Drosophila melanogaster: one gene and its partner. The protein of the gene in region 1 interacts with the protein of each later gene in a pairwise test. Each region holds a gene or a part of one and is shown on either strand. Other genes may lie near its edges.

Region 1 (9,705 bases):
ACCAAAGTAATAGCCATGAGAGCGAGTTGCGGAACGAGAGAGAGTACCTAGAGTCTGGTATCCTGGTAGCTAGTCCACGTATAAAGATCTGATTCGGTTCTTCGCATTTTATGCCCATGCTAATAGCGTTTTCGTGTTCCCTGACAGCCTCGATAGCCTTGACAGCCTAATGGCCGACCGCACCAACCGCAATCTTTAGCTAAACCCCATCTGGCTGCCTGGTGAACAGGACGGCGGGATGATTGAGTCGCCGGCCCTGAACTCTTCCCCGGCTGACGCTGGAGTCTGGGCACGGGAGCGTGACAAATTCAGTATCAATCTACACAATTAACTGTACCAATATGTCGGAAACACTTTCCTGGGCATTCGTGCAGAATTTCTGCGTTCGATAAGACACCCGGTAATGTGCTCTCCTCAGGCCGGCTCAGCTGCAGATGATGGAGTTTGGGTATGGGGTATTGGGTTAGGCACTGCAGCGCACTTGCAAACTGTACGAGTCTTTTGCCTGGGATGTAGAGGTAGTTTACATATGTCCCAGGGAGGGGGAATTGGTGCTCAGGGCAGAGGGCTGCTCTATGTAAATGGCCCAGCTCAGAGTGGGTTGCATGCTGTCGGTTGATAAGCATTCAACTTAACTATTCTCACCCTAGCATTCGCTCTTTTCTCTTTCTGAAAGCATTCTATTATTTTCCGAGCGATTGCACAGTCGCTGATTAAACAGCAGCCTCAATGGGAACCCAATGACTTTGCCTAACGCCTGGCCGGGGTTGAAGATGCGGACGGTGATGCGGACGGGGATGCGGACGGGGATGCGGATGCGGATGCGGATGCTGACTGGATAGGACCTTGCTGTGTATCTAAAAGCGGTGGCTGTCATGTGTGGTAATTTTTGTCGCTGCGCAGCAGCTTGAAAGTGAATTATGTATACCGCCCGTCCGCACGTCCATATCAAAGTGTATTGATTGAGTGCCAAAAATAAAATGCTGGGGTGGCTGTTTCCGGTGCGACTTACCTTTAACGGCACTTAATTGGTTTCCAACCATCTGCTTAGCTATGAAGGCCGCCATCTTTGGGCTGTCGCTCTAGGGGCGTGGCTGCGCCTGGTTGTGGTCCTCTGCTTCCGCTCGAAGAGATGCACTTGTGTCCGCGCTGGCTCCTGAGTCCCGGTTGCTGGGTCCTGGGTGCTCGGTAAGCTAAAAGCGACAAAGCAAAACGAAAAGAGCAAATTAATTTTGTGTGCTGCAGGACAAAGAAGTGCCCTGTCACCTGGGTCCGCCTGATACTTTAAGCCGCTTATGTTAAATGCCTTAAGTCGAGTACTCTGCTGAAGCACTGTTTCACTAGAAACCGATCTCATTCAGTTTATGACTTGGCCAGAATCTCAGTGCCATTTATTGCTAGAGGGGCAAGCAGGCCAAGCAGCCCTGGCTGGTACTGAACTTAATTCGCAAATCTAATAACTCGAACCCCTAGTCCTACAGCACAATAATCCCGTAATAAATGCGGTCTACGTGTCTTCCAGCCGAAATTTTTAATTTTATTAACGCCCCAGGCTGGGACGCAGCTAGGGTATCTTATTGCTGCTGGCTGCGTCTGCATCGTCTCTTTGTACCCATATATTAATAATTGCGCAAATTGGGTTAACGAACTTAAGCTGGAGGCGGCAGCTTGTTTCTCTCTAACTGCGCAAGCAAACCACTTGGCCAGGGCTGAAAGGTGGCGAGGCGAAATGGACGGAATGGACAAATGAAGAGTGTCAGTTGAAGTCTGAATATCGCCTTCATTCCCCTTCTTCTTTTTATCCTCGGCTAATGATAGCGAGAAGACTATGACAGGCAGTTAGTTAGCAAACAGCTAAATATTTTATTGACCAGGGCAAGTGCAGTAAAAAATTCATTTCGGTCCCACCATCCCGCATCTAGCAGCGCAATAGATGGTCGGGCAAAATGAATCGGGAAAACAAGTTCACGGGCTCACGGAATTTTGGTGCAAACGAGACGAACTAACACATCTATCTGACTTAATATAGCTAAATAGAAGCGAAATTTATGACATTCGTGCTTAGAATTTTATGGTCGGGTGGCCAAGGTGTGGTCGCAACAGGAACACCTTCTTATCTTTGGGCCACTAAACATTTCAAGTTGACCCAAAGTTCTTCTCAGTTGGCTATCCAGTTACATTTAAAGTTTTCTAATACGGGATCCAGTCAGAAAACCAAAGCCAATAAATACGCAAATAAGCTGTGTGTGACTCCGACCCAACGCTGCACCCACGCTCCTAAGCATTTGGCCTTGGCCATAAAAGGGTAAGTATACCTCAAGTATATCATGTATACGCCTCAGGCGAAGCAGCTATGGAGCACTGCGATCGTTTCGTCTTTGGATAGTCTTCGCATTATTTTGAGGACTCGAACGATTGCGTAATGAGCTTGGAACTTTTTGCTGCCTTCGAGCAATCTACGCGTAAAATGTGCAGGATGCGGACGAACACTTTGCACAAATATTTGAAATAAAGTGCGAGCAAGTTTGGAGCATACTTGGGGCATACTTTCGACACTTTTTAGGTTGATGGACCACCCACATACCTGGCCTTAGTTCAGCAAGTATTCCTTTCAGATTTTGCTTGAAGATTCCTGTGAGTGCGTGGACTTGGTTGATGAGGAGCAAAGTTCCGACTAGTCTGCGCGAAATGTGTTTGTTCTAAGGAAATCCACTGTGAAGAGCGTGCATTAGGCAGATAGGCTTCCTGAAAGACAAACAGAGACACAGAAGGCGTCGTTTAGTTGTTCACAGTGCAGAGTTCTGGGCTTCCAGGGTTATATGGCTCCCGGGTTACGGGTTTCAGGGTTCGGCGGGGTCGAGCCGAACCTAGAGGACTGGCGCTAATTTAAAAATAGCAGACACACACACCAACACCCCCAGGGGTCGCATTGTTACCGATGTTTCGCTTGTCGTCGTCGTTATTGTGCTGGCGTGCCACTTGCTTCGTTGCTTTTATCGATATTTCTTTATTAGGGTTTCTTTTATGGGAGCGTGCACGTAAGTGCCTTTTTGAGTGGGGAGGGGTTCGAGGAGGCGGGTGCCACAAGCAAACAAGATTTTTACTTTACGTAATACGCGCAGCAAACAAATTCGATTTGACTCGGGTCCTGGAGTCGTATTCCTTTGGCGGCCGCCGTGTTTCGCTTTTTTCACTGATTCCGATTACATAAGGCTGCGCTTGCAGTGGATCACTCAGTCAACTGGCCGAGCAATTGAATTAGCTTGATAGAACAAATTCGCTTAATCAATTTAGGTTTTCAGTCGTGCTTTCGAGCTCGGGCCGTTCGTCGCTTTTTAAATACTACCAATGTGAGCCAGTATCGACATCGTGCGGGCACATATGTGCCCCACACAAACCCTCTATGTACACGCACTTGCTCTAGTGTGTTGGTGCGGGAGTGTGCTGTGTGTGTCCGTGCGCACTGGCAGTGTGTGTGTGCTTAATACTTTTGCTTTGCTTGCCACTTTTCACTAGACCGTCGCTATGTTTTCTCGGCGCTTCTTACTTCATGCTATGTTCGCACTCTTCTGCACGCCACTGCCAGAGTACCCTACACGAAAAACTCGGTAAACGTGGCTCGTTGCCGCTGTTCCGCATGCGAGCGCCTTACAAAGCGTTGGCGGAGGCAGTGGCGTCGGAGCCGACCGCGCCGCTGCGGCCCCGAAATCCAGTGAATAGCGGGCTTCGAGGGACCGAGCTTTAGCGCCGTCCGAAAATTCTCGGGCTCGGGTTTGAGTGCTTTCCCGCTCGGCTTGCCGAGAGAAAACGAGCACCACAGGCACTCACATAGATAAGGGCAACAATGGTGGGGGTGGGACTCGTTTGACGGCAAGATTGCAGGACCGCCAGGACTGAAAGAACCCTACCCTGCCCCCTTTCTCTATCTCTCTGTCTCTCTAATATATTTATCTGACTGCTATTTTTTGTCTGTTACATAATTCGATTCCCCTCTATCTCTATCCCTCTCAATGTCTTTCGCTCTCACTCTCTTCCTCCTTCGCTCTCTTTCTCGGTCTCAATTTCTTGACTTTTTGACTTTGAAATCAGCAGCAAAAGCGCTGCCTACATTTGGGAGATGGCGCCTGCGCCGAATAGCGTATACGCGATATCGATTCGTGGCGGTCGTGTTAGTGTTCCTGTAACATTTAGCATCAGGCTATGCCGTACTGATAAGACGCTCGCTGTGACTACGAGCCATTATCACCACTCGGAGCGAGAACCAGCCGAACTGCACCGCATCCCTCGGCTGCGCCCTCAACCCACTGGAACGGCCTTTGTTGGCTTGTCAGTGCCACTCTCGTTTGTTTGCACACATTCGTGTGTACATGCTGGGCGGACTGTGCTGACCAGGCAGCAGGAAGACGGGACCGGAAGCACATAGCTTTAAAGGAGGAAATTGCAAAGATCTGGCCACATCCGCTCATCTGTCCGCCATCGGACAGTGGTCGGGTCAAAGTCTATGTCGTGACAAGAGCTCCTATCAAGGTTGCCAAGGGCGCAGGAGAATACTCCAGACTTCTAATTAGTGCGACACAGATCCGACAGTGTTCATACCAATATGGCCGACTAAGATGGCGTCATTGTTTTCCGCTCAATCAATTATAATTTCATAGCGTTTTGGCAGACAGCTTGGTGGATTGGCACTGAATGGGAGGTTAGCTGCCTTCCTCGCCCGTATACAACTGAAGTTCACTCCAGCAAGTCCTTGCTGCACAGCGTGAGATAATTTTTCCTCCACAAATTGCTTATTACTTATGGCTCGACAAAGCGAAGCTCATTGTTTAGTATGATAGTCACGACCTGGCCACTAGGGCATTAAAGGCTGGGGACATAGTCCACTGGCCATTAGACCGCTGGCGTGGGGGACTTGCGCGGAAGGAGGGCGGACCGCGGACCGTGGGGTCTACCTAAACAGTCGGTCACGGAGAACCACAGGGCTTGGGTACTTTCCCCACACCAATGCACGCTACACTCTGCAATATCGCACTGATTGCCACTCGTCACGGACCCGTATACAAACCGAAAAGTTCGCTCTGGGGCGGTGGTGCTGCTGCTGGTGACCGAAACTACATTAACTGCCGAAAACGTTATACTGGTAGCCAGCAGCTCTTGTGGTAACAACAGCCGCCGAAACGCGAAGAGAGTCCCCAACGCAGAGAGCACTGCTGTCAGTTTTGACAGTTGGCCCCAAACAAAACGAAAGCTTGCTGGCCGAAAGCTTTTAGCCGAATTGTTGGTTAATAACGACTTTCCCTTCTGCCGGAGACGGCGTTCTTGCACGCCCTGCTAGACAAGGAGTCCCCTTTCCCATTCCTCATCAGTATTGACTGGCACGCTTACATAAGCCTCGTAGTCTGGCGTTGCGATAAATAAAGTGCACCATGTACGGGCAGGGATTGCTCGGAAGCGGAACCGGTGACAGATTATCCTCCGCTAATTTCTGAACATGTGAGCACCACATCCTTTGTGGGCCTTGCTTTTTAACACACCCGCCGGAAGAAGCGTATTGATAGCAGCTAATGCCCGAATTGGTTGTCGATACGCCGGGATTCCGACCAGGGCCTGCTCCTGCAGGATAAGCTCGAGTGCGGCGGAACAGGAAATTCCTGCGGGTTTTTGCGTGGGAGTAACGGTGGCAATTTATATAAATTATTTAATTAGAGCATACACGTCATAATGGGAAAGTGGGATTGCTTCATCGCCTATTTGCCCAGTTATGATTATTTTTTTCAGGCGTATTTCGCACATTCGCCTCCCGTATCATCAGACGACGTGAGGAAAATTGGCCACATTTTGCTCACTGCTCCAGCTTTTTTAAGAGGTAATGACAGCCAGGAGACCCGTTCGCCTGGACATTTTTAGCAGCATTTAGTTCAGCCGCGATAATTTATATGGCTTCTTTTTTCATAGACTGATACGTTTAGGTGATTAAAAGTATCATTAGTAGATTAGTAGTAGAGTTCTTCGACTGTTGTTTATTAATTACAACAGTATGTCTATACCATTATAGGAATTATACAAATATGCTCACAATTAATAAGTGCGGATGATTTAACAACTTGTTATACTCGTTAAATGGTGTACTATCTTCGTTGAAAAGTATGCAACAGGTAAAGGGAAGCGTAAAGTATAAATATTTGTGATCAGCAAAGTCAGGAACTATTAAAGTTAAAGAGTTGAGATTGGACATGAAAATTCCATTCATTCTAAATGTGGTCACGCCCAATCTAACGCTCACCATCCACCCAAAACTGCCATGCCCACAACTTTTGGAAATGTTTTCATATTTTTTTAATTTTGTTGTAGTCTTTTTTGCAATCGATTTGCCGAAATACTTTTTACCACGCCGGCTCTAATGCACAAAATCCGCCCAAACTGCCATACCCGCACTTTTTAATGTTGGGTAGAGATTTTTTGATTTTATAATGTCTTTCTAATTTCTATCGGCATCCTAAACATTTTTTTGCCACGCCCACACTAACGGTATTGCTGAGGCCGTGTCCCCGCCGCCGCGAAATTTACAATTGCTTTTCTTCTAGGTATTTTCAATTGGCATTTGTAAATTGAAGTTATAAGTCCCCCGTCACAAATAATGATATTGAAAACCCGCCGTCCAAAGCAGCCAGAACTGCCGCCTTGATGGTTGGTACGGTCGTTTTCAATCAATGAGAATTCGCAAAGATGACAACTCAAATTTTCCCAGTTTCAGCTTCAGCCACAGACATTGTCATTTCGGGCCTGCAAAAGCACAAGGCGGCTGCCGCAGGACGGCGTGCGGGCTTAAGCTGAGGGATGCGGCGGCTTTAGCGTCTAGCTGCAGAGTGGCTAAATTTAAAACGGTTTCATGTTGTGATTTTGACAAATGATAATTTTCCGCATGTGCTTGTGCCAGTCTTTGTGTTTGATATGTCAGCCGAGACTCGACTGAAATCGAGATACTCCTATCTCTGTGGCCCGGCGCCCATGCCTCCATGGCGGTCGATGAGTTGCTCATTGTGCAGGGTAGATAACTGTCCGGAATTCCGGAAATTCCGGAATCATTGCCGACAAGAAAACGTATCTCAAAGGGTCGTTAGGTTGGCACACACGCCTCTGCAAGGCGGAATAGTTTCTTTTGTTACAAGGACTTTTTACTTACTAGTCGTAATTACCAGCAAGGAGTTGGGTGCTGGCAACGCTAAATTACATTATTTGTCTGGGTCTGGCTTTTCGATAGATATTTGGGAATAAAACGAGTAAAAAATAAACAAAATTTTAAAATGGTAGTTTGGGGCGGTTTGTGGGCGTTTAAATGGGGGTGGTAACAAGAAATTTCAGAGCTTATAAAACTATGAAAAAATTTCTAAACATTTGGAAAAAGTTTGGGAGTGGTAGCCTTGCCTGGTTTGTGGAAGTTACAGTGGGCGTGGCAACATTTGCAAGCAAACATGCGCAAACTTCTATTGATAACCTTATAAATCGACTTCAAGCTGATATTGGCTTAACAGTTCTGAGTTCGATTTTTTGGTAACCATGGCGTTGCTTCGTTTATTATTATCGCTAAGGTTAGGGGAATTTTTTTGTTTAAACCTCAACGTTGCCCGATGTGCAGCACTTTGGAAAATAAGTCAAACCAAAGCGAAGATGAGCTTGACGATAAATTAACCCAAGAAGAGTATAAACTCTTGTGGCCCGATTTCGTGTCGCGAATTTCCAATCCTACCGTTAACAGCGTTCAACTTCATTGGTCTTTATTAAAAAATGCCTCGGTATACTGTATTGATAAGTTCCATAAAAGACTTGGCTGGTTACAGTTGGATTGGACTTCCAGTTCTCCCATAACAGTTACAAATCTGGAAGAAAACTTCGGATACCGACTACGCATAAAAGCGCTGACAGTTTCTAAGGATGGACATTGTTATGTGCCTTTGGCTATCTCACCTGAAATAGTTGTAAACATTATTAATATTATTAAATCGATTTATCAAAAACGTTCTGCTTCCAAACATGAAACTATGCACAATCAAACGTACATATATACATATTTTCTACAAATTTCTGGTTCTGCTGGTTCGAAATATTCATTTAATTTATATTTTGACAGTAGCTTAAATGGCTTTTTCTTTCGTTTTTACTCCTTGAAAAGTATGTTCAAGGCAGTAAGAAGCGTATCGACCGACCATATCAAGTGTATAAGTTAACACAATCACAAAACACCCGAAATATAGTCGTAAGCCTCAAGTGCTTTTCCCATCTATAGATCGAGCTTTACCTATAAGAAACTGTAACTTGTTAAGCTTTAGAGATAAGAACTCTTGCTATACTTAAGTCAGTCGATTTTGGAAGATTAGAAGCGTCGGTCATCGCCACGTACTTACTATTCGTCTCATTAAGTGCAGACCGCGCAAGCCCTATTGTAATTAATAAACTTACGCTAATAAATATATGGAAAATCTACTAAAATGATAATTGGCGCCCAAACGGATATAAAAACCTACGATAACTGAATAATTATAAATAAATAACAAAAGGAGGATCCGGAGACAAAATCAGCGGCTTTGGCTAATTAACTCTAACCTAAGAAATAAAAATTTCGTGATTACATAAAATATAATATTAATTACTAAGACCATCTACCTTAAAATTGTTTGTTAATCACTATTATTATATTGTAAGTATAACGCTTATTGAACGAATTAAAAATATTATTATTATTATTATATTATAACCTATGCAAAGAGTATTGATAATAAAAATACATGAGTGACAGTGATAACCTTTTAGACAACCTAGTGTCAAGCTTAAATAAATGGTCAGCGCACCAGGCAAGTAGGCAAAACAGTGCAGAAAAAAATAATAAGTCATCAGATAATTGGTGGTCAAAAACAAAGACAACTAGCGAAATGGAATTTGAAGCTCAGTTAAAAGCGATCGTAGAGAGTGCTGTTGCCGGTGCGCTCGCAGTCCAAAAACAATCATTTGAAAAGCAATTGCAGGAGATGAATGAGCGAATCGGGAAATTAACAGTGAACACCCCAGAGGTGGAAACTTATGTAGATGCTGAAATTAGACCAGGTGTTGTCTGTAGCGAGCCTCTAGATATAATTAAATCTCTGCCAGATTTTGATGGCAAAAGTGAAACATATGTGTCGTGGAGAAAAGCGGCTCATGTCGCTTTTAAAGTTTTCAAAGATTACGAGGGAAGTTCAACATTTTACCAAGCTCTTGGTATTATGCGAAATAAAATAAAAGGTCCAGCGAATACAGTATTGGCTTCTTTTAATACTCCGTTACATTTCAAAGCAATGATCAGCCGTCTTGATTTCACATATTCTGACAAAAGGCCGATCTATCTAATCGAACAAGAGCTATCAACTTTGCGACAGGGAGACATGACTCTTACTGAATTCTACGATGAAGTCGAGAAAAAACTGACCCTACTTACCAACAAGACAATAATGACATTTGATAGTGCCTTGGCGATGTCACTGAATGAAAAGTACAGGACGGACGCGTTACGTGTATTTGTAACCGGAGCTAAGAAATCGTTGAGCGACATTCTTTTTGCAAAAGGTCCAAAAGATTTACCAACTGCTCTCGCTTTAGCGCAAGAGGTCGAGTCGAACCATGAGCGTTACCAATTCGCCCTTATTTATTCTAAAAATATTGGAGACAGGGGTCAGA
Region 2 (7,983 bases), on another chromosome or scaffold:
GCGGGGTAATTGCCTTGAAAGGCCGCTGAAAGCCCTCAAACAAATTATAAATTGTTTCTCCACGGCGAGAGGCCCGGCTCAAAAGGGGTTAACAACATTTGATGGCAGCCGCCCCAATTCAACTCACTCATTACCCCGACTCTGGATCTGGCTATGGCTCTGCGTTCAGCCCCATCTCCATCGCCATCTGCAACTTCTCCTTCTCTTGTCCTTCTTCGCCTGTCTTATCTGAGGCCGCTGATCCATCACCTGGTTCGCATTGGGGCACGGAGTCGAAAGTGCCGGGTTCTGGGCTCTGGCGTCCTGAGTCCTCAGACTTCGGCTTATGAGGCCGTCGTGGGGCATTTTCTGATTGCGTGTGCATTTTTAATGCTGCCTGCCTTTTGGCCTTTATAGCCACTACGCACTTCATTCATCAATGTGCGCCTGGCCTAAATGGAGCCACTCTCCGCTGCCTTGGTGGCCACCGCCATCTTGCCGCCAAGACAAATGATGATGTGTATCCAGATTCCTTTTCGACATTTCCCTTTTGTTTTACTCGCTGCGGAGCTGACCTCCAGCTCCTCGATTTTCTCATCCCACTCCTTCGGCAGAGTCGCTTACTTTTGTCGAGTGGCTTGCACTGTAAGCTCTATGAAATGTTTATGCTCATCTTACAGAAATGATATGAATCTTATTTTAAAGTTCAGCAGATTTTGTTTAACTTATTAGAAGACTAGTCGGAAAATATCTATTCAAATTCTCATAAGGAATTAAAAGGGAAACATTTGGTAGAATATAGTTATGAGAAGGATTATATAACTATCTGGTTCTGTAACTTGTAATTGGTTAACTGAAAACCCGAACTATTTATAAATTTTATAAAGATTGAACTATTGAAAAGTATGCAGTTAAGCTTTAAGATTCCAAGAATTGGTTGCACGATTTGCGTGCCACATTCCCATAACCCAACTTTCCAATTCTGCAAAGATAAGATAATTTAATATGATGTTATTACATATATGTAGGGTATACCAGTGATCGGCCATCAGAAAGTTATTCTCCTTGCGCTCGCAGTGCTTACTTTGATTTTTATAAATTTTAGATGGCACACGCCTTTGCCTTTTGCCATCGCATCGCATCGCATCGCCTTCACCTGAGTTTCTTCTGTGCTGTGCGCTAATGAAATATGAATAATTAACACTGTGTTTTCTTTTTGTTCTACTTCATTTGGAGTTCATTATTTTTGGCTCACTGCATTTGGTCCGGGTATTTGACTTTTGGCCTCGGCAGCGTTGTCATCCCTTGGTGAAGGGATTCTATTCCATGAATTCTGGCTAATTACGCCGGAGCGGAGTCAGTTATTCAGTCAATTATTTATGCAAAAGCTACCATGCAAATTGGTTTAAACTTTGCTTGTTATTGTTTGGGCTTCGATGATATTTAGCGATCCGATCACGATTCTCAGCGATAAGTTATCGATTACAAGGCATCTGGTTTATATACCACCAAGTCAATTAAATCATTTCATCGTTAAGTATGTTTACATATGCCATATGTATAAAAAGTCAAAATGTTAAATATTGCATGTAAATATATTTTAATATATATTATTTTGGTATTATAATACCACACAAGCACATGGACAATGCTTTAGTACTTAAATTTATCGAATACAATCGATAATTGACTGCGGCGTTAGTTTGAAAGACTCTAAAGAAGAAGAAGAACATTTCGTTTCAAGTTTAAGAGTGTTATGTTTTGGTGGGAAAAATGACATTCTATCTGGAACACGTGCTCACTGGCGATCGGATTAACTTGAACGAGGGCATCCAAATTCTGGGGCGCCACTCCTCTTGCACCTGGGTATTGAAGTACGACTATATGTCGAGATATCATGCTCTTATTCACGTTAATCAGGGAGACATTTTCATTAAGGAGATGGTAAGATGCGTATTACGATGGTGCAACCGATGGTTATCGTTTATGCCTTCCGCAGGAAACCAATAATGGCATATTTCTTAACTATTGGCCGACGCGAATCGGCAGTTCTTGGTGCGAAGTAAACGTTGGCGACGTCCTGTACTTTGGGGTACAATTAGGCATCGAACACGATGGGGAGATACCGAATACGTTCGGAATATTCACCGTTAAATCATCTGGATAAAACATCGGAGAACTTTTCAGTTCCCATTAAACCGGGTGCTGAAATGCAAATGCCCCCATTTAACGACACAATCCCTTTTTGGGGCGTTAATTTTCCAAGTCCGATCCTAAGGATCCTGGATTCTGGATCCTAAGGACCAGAGTCATTGCTTACAAATCTACAAACCGACAATAACCACACACAGTGGCAGCTGAAAAAATACATAATAGGGAACAACTTTAGATATTCAATCCAATCAACTATACAATACAATATTCAATACAATCAACTAAGGGTATTTGCACATTTCCATATTCCAAATTGAAATATATATAGAGAAACAATGCAAGAAAATTGATCAAAAACATGAAATATCTAAGCAAAATAAAACTTTTCTTTTCTGACTTGCCGTATTGTAGTTGCTTAAACGTTGAACAGATTTTATACAATTTGAAGTTTGAAAGAAAAATGATAATGTATACTTACTATACCTCTACCTATTGTTTCTTGACTTGGCTGGTAATTATGCAAAAAGAGATCGAGCTACGTGTGCAGATTTGTGAAAGTTTCCTTATGACAACCGCCACAATATTATGTTGTAATGACCAGAAAGAATACAGAAAGACCCGGTCTAACGACCAAGTTGTCTTGCATTATATATGTAAGTTCAACGTTTTCCGAGTGGATATTTTTGGCGCACCCCATCTCAATTTTAACGCTTTCAGTGTCGACTGCCTCCCACTGACACCCCCACCCACTGACTAATTTGTCACTTTTGTTCTCGCCTCGCAGGGACTTTTGGAATATCTTGTACTTTTTTTGATTGTTTTTTTTTTTTTTTTTTTTTTGCTGGCAACCCTTTTTTCAAGGGCAATTTCGTATTCAAATGTTGTTTGACTCGGTGTCTGTCTCGCTTTCTCTCCATTTAGTTGCTAGTACGTGTTCGTTGTGACCTGCCCCGTTTTCCATTTTGCTCGCAGCCAGTACATTTGGACCACATCCCCCAACCGGGTAGCTCTCATTCGCACGTAATTAGCTGTTAATTTGGACTACCACTTGGCAACCGGGCGTGGAATTTACTTTGTAACTTCTCCCATGTTTCGGTGTGTGGCACCGAGCCGTTCATGGGGAAATTGGGAAAACGTTTGTTGATTTGGCCCACAGAAGACGATGGCATTCGTATGGTTTATTGGCTCTGGTTTTGCTTCACACCTATGCTTATGTTCAATTGGTATGATTTTACAAAGGTTGATTTGATTATACAATTGTTATTTTTAATTTGAGTAAACAATTGATATTTTGAATTTACATATCTATGTGTTTGGGTGCTTATCCTAGGAGGCTGTAAGGACTACATTTCCTGGCCTGCGACCACTTTGTCAACAAACGCCTGAAGCTCGGCTTGTCCCTCTGCGTCGGGGGCTGCCATGATCTTGTCGAGAATCTGCCAGTTAATGTGCTTATTCAATAGTCCCCGTTTGATGACAAAGGCGCGCATCATAATGTTGAAATAGCGAGCTCTCCAAGCGGAACGCAGTCGCGGAATGTAGATGCGATTGTTGACCATCTCGTTGTCGTCCACATCGTAGATGTCGACTTCGCTGCCCTTCTCCTCGACAGGCTGGTCCTGCTTCTTTGGAGCGATTTTCTTACGCTTCTTTGGCTTTGGCGGCAGGGGATTCGATTCCGGCTGTCGGTTGGCCAGCTTCGCCATCCATCTAGATTGCAGGTCGGCCAGCGCCAGGTACTCCTTGTGCGTTAGGTTTGGCACATCGCGGAATAGTCCCTCCATCATATCGATCATCACATCCTCCGGAAAGCTGCACGACTCCGGTATCCAGATGCCATCGGTGGGCAATATCTTGGCCATGGCAAAGCCAAAGCAATGTGGTTGAAATGACTGGTTCTCAATGTTATTGTTTTATGAGAGCTACGCTGCTTACGCCGATAGATTAAGCTTGCTATCGATCGATACAATTGATCATCGACTTACCGCAATGCATGGGAGGATTATAGAATGTTCACACTGATAACGATGTTATAAGCTATTAAATAAATTTATATAGATATATATTTATATATAACAATAATAATAATAACAATTTTACTCATGTGCATTTATAAATGGTAATATAATTTAAATTTTAAGTTATCTTGCAATCGAAAGGGGCTAGAATATTGGAAAAAAAGCCTTGCTTAAAGATTCTTTTAACTTAAACTACGACATCTTCCTGGCCGTTGGACAGCTTCCACCACCTGCAGTGCAGCCCCATGGCAGCCTTGCCATCCATCTGGTGAGCCAAGTAACCCCGGGAACCCAACTGACAAGCAAATTACTTGACCGGGGCCACCACCAACCACAAGTCAAGGTATGGCTGGCAACCGTTAACTTTGCAGCTAATTATAAATGAAATCCGATATCAAAAGGCACACTGGGACACGCCTTTGTGCAACACCCAGGCACCAGCACCCACTAACACACACGGGGGCTTGCCCCCTCCAACCCACGGCACACACACACACTGAACCAGCCGTCGAATACACAGACAATGTCAATTCATTTGGAGTTTTGGAAGTCCTGGTCTTGGAGTCCTACAGTCCTGGAGTCCTGGAGTCCTGGATTCCAACCGGCCGCCAGTCTGTGGTTCTCGGCAAACAAACAAATAATGAAAACAGCACAAAGGGGCTGGCATCGTGGTGTCATCGGCGGGTTAGGGGGTGTTGGGTTGGCGTATTGTGGGCGTGGACCGAGAACAAAGTGGAAAATTCATAAAATGTCATTGTCGCTTTATTAAAACGCGCCAAAAACCTTCACGATGCCCCACTCACCACTAGCAGCGCCATCTAACCCCCATTTCTAACACACAATTAAGCAGTGAAAACAATTTGGTATTGAAAACAATTTAAGTCTAATAAATTATTTCACATATGCGTTACATAATCTGAAATCGAATACAAATGTTTCTATTGTGGCAAGTTCAGTATTACTATGTATTACTATGCTATGTTATAATGTTTTAAAAACCTTAAGACAAAGCGATCATTTCAAATAGAAGTATTTTTTAGCGGTGCACCCACACATAGATGTCAATCGTGGTACAACGAAGGGGGTGTTTCCGAAGGGGTGGGGGGGTGTTTGGGGCTTCATGAGTGAGTGGGTGGGTGCTTTGGCAAATTGGGCGGACGGCGACGTTGTCTGCTTTGCCATCGACAGCTGTTGGCGTCATTTACAAAAGCTTTTTGGCCGTTTTATGGGATTTTGCAACAGTTTCATTTTCATTTTGCGCAGGGCGCACACACACACACACAAACACACACACACACTCATGAGCAGAATAAGGCTTGGGGAGGGGGGTGGAGTTTGGCGGGCATAATGCCGCCATTAGAAGTTGCCGCCAAGCACTTGCTAACGCCAAAAGATGATGATGAGCAGCAGCAAGAGCAATAGCAACAAGGACCATATGCCATATGTGTGTGTGTATGCAGTGGCATTCGCAGAAGGGATCTAAACTCGTATATTTAAGTACTACATTTAAGACAAGACATAAAGGTACCAGGATACTCTTTAAAACAAGATGATTGCCTGCTTTTGAACTTTCAAGACTTTGATTTGTAGCTATTATTTTCTAAAAGTGCAAATATCCCTTTCTAGACTTCAGTTACGAACCCCCTTTATCTTAGACCAGAGACACCCATGCATGTTACGCCGCAGTTGTATCTGTAGTTGTGCGATGTTGCGACAACGATAATAGCTTCAACGTTTGTTGATTCGTTTGCCGTCTATATATGTTAGTCTGCCTGCCTGGCCAAACCTACGATTTTATCACGCCCTAGACCCGCGAACCCCTAAAGTCACCGTCCATGCACCCGCACATAACCATTTTCCCTTGCCCATTTTCCCCAAGCGTCGTCATCGTCAGCGTCATATTTGAACTTTTAATATTGACGCCATTTAACACGTTCGGGTGGAAATTTTATAAATGACTCTGTCTGTCGTTGGCTGGCTCCCTACTATGAACCTCCTCCCTCTGTAACCACCTTGTAACCTCCTTGTAACCCTCAATAACCCGTGTAACCCCCCCAATAGCAAACGACAACCTTCGATCCCCAACGACGCGACAAGGAACAATGATGATAATGATAATGATAATGATAGTGCCGATGATGATGGCGATAGCGCTGATTATGCGGCTGATTTGGGCCGTGAGTAGTTTGGCTTGAAAATGCAGTTTATACGATAAATTACTCGACTATTTGTGGCCATAGGCATAGATTGAATTGAATCATAAATGGCATGGGCGATCAAAACTTTCGAGTCACTTGAATTGGTTACTAACTTAAAAAGAATGGCATAATAAATCGATAAAATCAAGAGTTTCGCTAATAATTGAGTATTTCAATAATATATATTTGGTGATCTTCTTGATTCGAATCCAGAACCAAGTTTCGTGTAGTCCTTGTTCAAACTGTCAATAGTCACTTGCGGCTTTTACGTTGGATTGTCTGCGAATTAGCTGGAGAGAGCAAATCACTTAAAGCGACCGCGCAGCTCAATCACGGCAACTCTAGGACTTTTGGGGCGGTACACTGGGACATTAGGACATCGAGACATCAGGACATCGGGACATCAGGACATCGGGACATCAGGACATCGGGACATCAGGACACGACAGTGGAGTCACTATCGAATGTCAGGAGTGTGTGGCATCTTATAAATCGATATGAGTGTCTGTTGCACAGACAGCGAGACTGAGACTGAAGTTCGATCGTTACTGCCGTCGACAAGAGTGCCTGTCCTGGCATACACTGCAAGAAATGAAGTAGCTATTAACGCAATAAAAGCAGTTTTGCACGAGAGAGCTTAAGTTTGTCCATGTTTTAGTCCTTGGCCAAAGTGAAAAAAAAAACGTATTTGCAAGCCAGTCAAAAGACTGAACTGCACAAGTGACCCGTTTTTTCTGCCTGTGCACCATTGCGAGGGGTGCAAATGGGCGCAGGGACTGTGGCATCGCGTCATCTTGTCAAATATTTCGCGCTAAATTAACACGACAGCGCGCCCAAATGGAGTAAGAAGATGTCAGCCGGGCCGAAAGGACAGACCTGGCACAGAGTCGCTAGTTGCAAGTGCCGGGTCCTCAAAGGACGCCAAAAAAAAAGTACAGCTCAAGTGGTGCAGGGGCGTTGCAAAAAGGGGAGCGTGGAAAGGGGATGGCGGTGGTGGTGCGGATGGCATTGCCATGTGCCGGCTCCTTTGCACATACATACTGGTACATAACTCAAATAGCGACGCAGTTGTCTGCACCACCCCCCCATTTGTATGTGTGTGTGTGAGTGCATAATTTGTTGGCTTTGTGCAACACCCCCCTCGTTGCCACCCCCTATCTTGCCCTTCCTCCCTCCCCTCTCACTGAATGGCAGACGAAGCCGTGCCAGGCATCAAGACAGGGCAAAAGTCGTTTGGTCGGCCAGGACATGCAGCTAAAAGTTTCGAGCCGAAGATTGAGCTACACTACAGGCAAATTTATACAACAATTATGACAATATTGAAATTATCTATAAAGGTATATATATACTTATATTATGCACCTTCTGCAATCAAATCTAAGTGGTGCTTTATATCATATTATAAACTGAAAAGGACAGAAACTGTAAACACTTTCACTAACTGAAGCACCTTCAGAAAGGGTAACAAAAAGTGGCAAAGGACGAAGACTGGAAAGATGCTCGCAACAGCTGCCGCTTGCAAAAGTTAACACTAACTAAGGACAGGCGGCAAGACAGACAGGGTGGCAGAATGAGAGGGCTTGATAGACACAGAGAGAGAGAGAGAGAGAGGCGACACGAGTTGGTGTGACAGA

Evidence for each region.
Region 2: the proteins of cpx (region 1) and moon interact in a two-hybrid assay, tested with the Drosophila melanogaster proteins (one large-scale study listed by BioGRID).

Annotation. Positions count from the first base shown.
Region 1 is NT_033777.3:4,275,714-4,285,418, reverse strand, and holds the start of cpx (complexin), read right to left. Parts: upstream 5,199-9,705; 5' UTR 5,063-5,198; intron 5,035-5,062; exon of another isoform or gene 4,597-5,034; intron 3,715-4,596; exon of another isoform or gene 3,416-3,714; intron 3,256-3,415; exon of another isoform or gene 2,937-3,255; intron 2,795-2,936; exon of another isoform or gene 2,746-2,794; 5' UTR 2,585-2,745; intron 1,194-2,584; 5' UTR 1,068-1,193; coding exon 1,013-1,067; intron 1-1,012. Other genes in the region: flip (flippy), read left to right, coding at 7,626-7,973. UniProt on the Drosophila melanogaster protein: Positively regulates a late step in synaptic vesicle exocytosis.
Region 2 is NC_004354.4:12,068,736-12,076,718, forward strand, and holds moon (moonshiner), read right to left. Parts: upstream 4,084-7,983; 5' UTR 3,996-4,083; coding exon 3,477-3,995; 3' UTR 3,273-3,476; downstream 1-3,272. Other genes in the region: CG34323 (uncharacterized protein), read left to right, coding at 1,753-1,923, 1,979-2,146.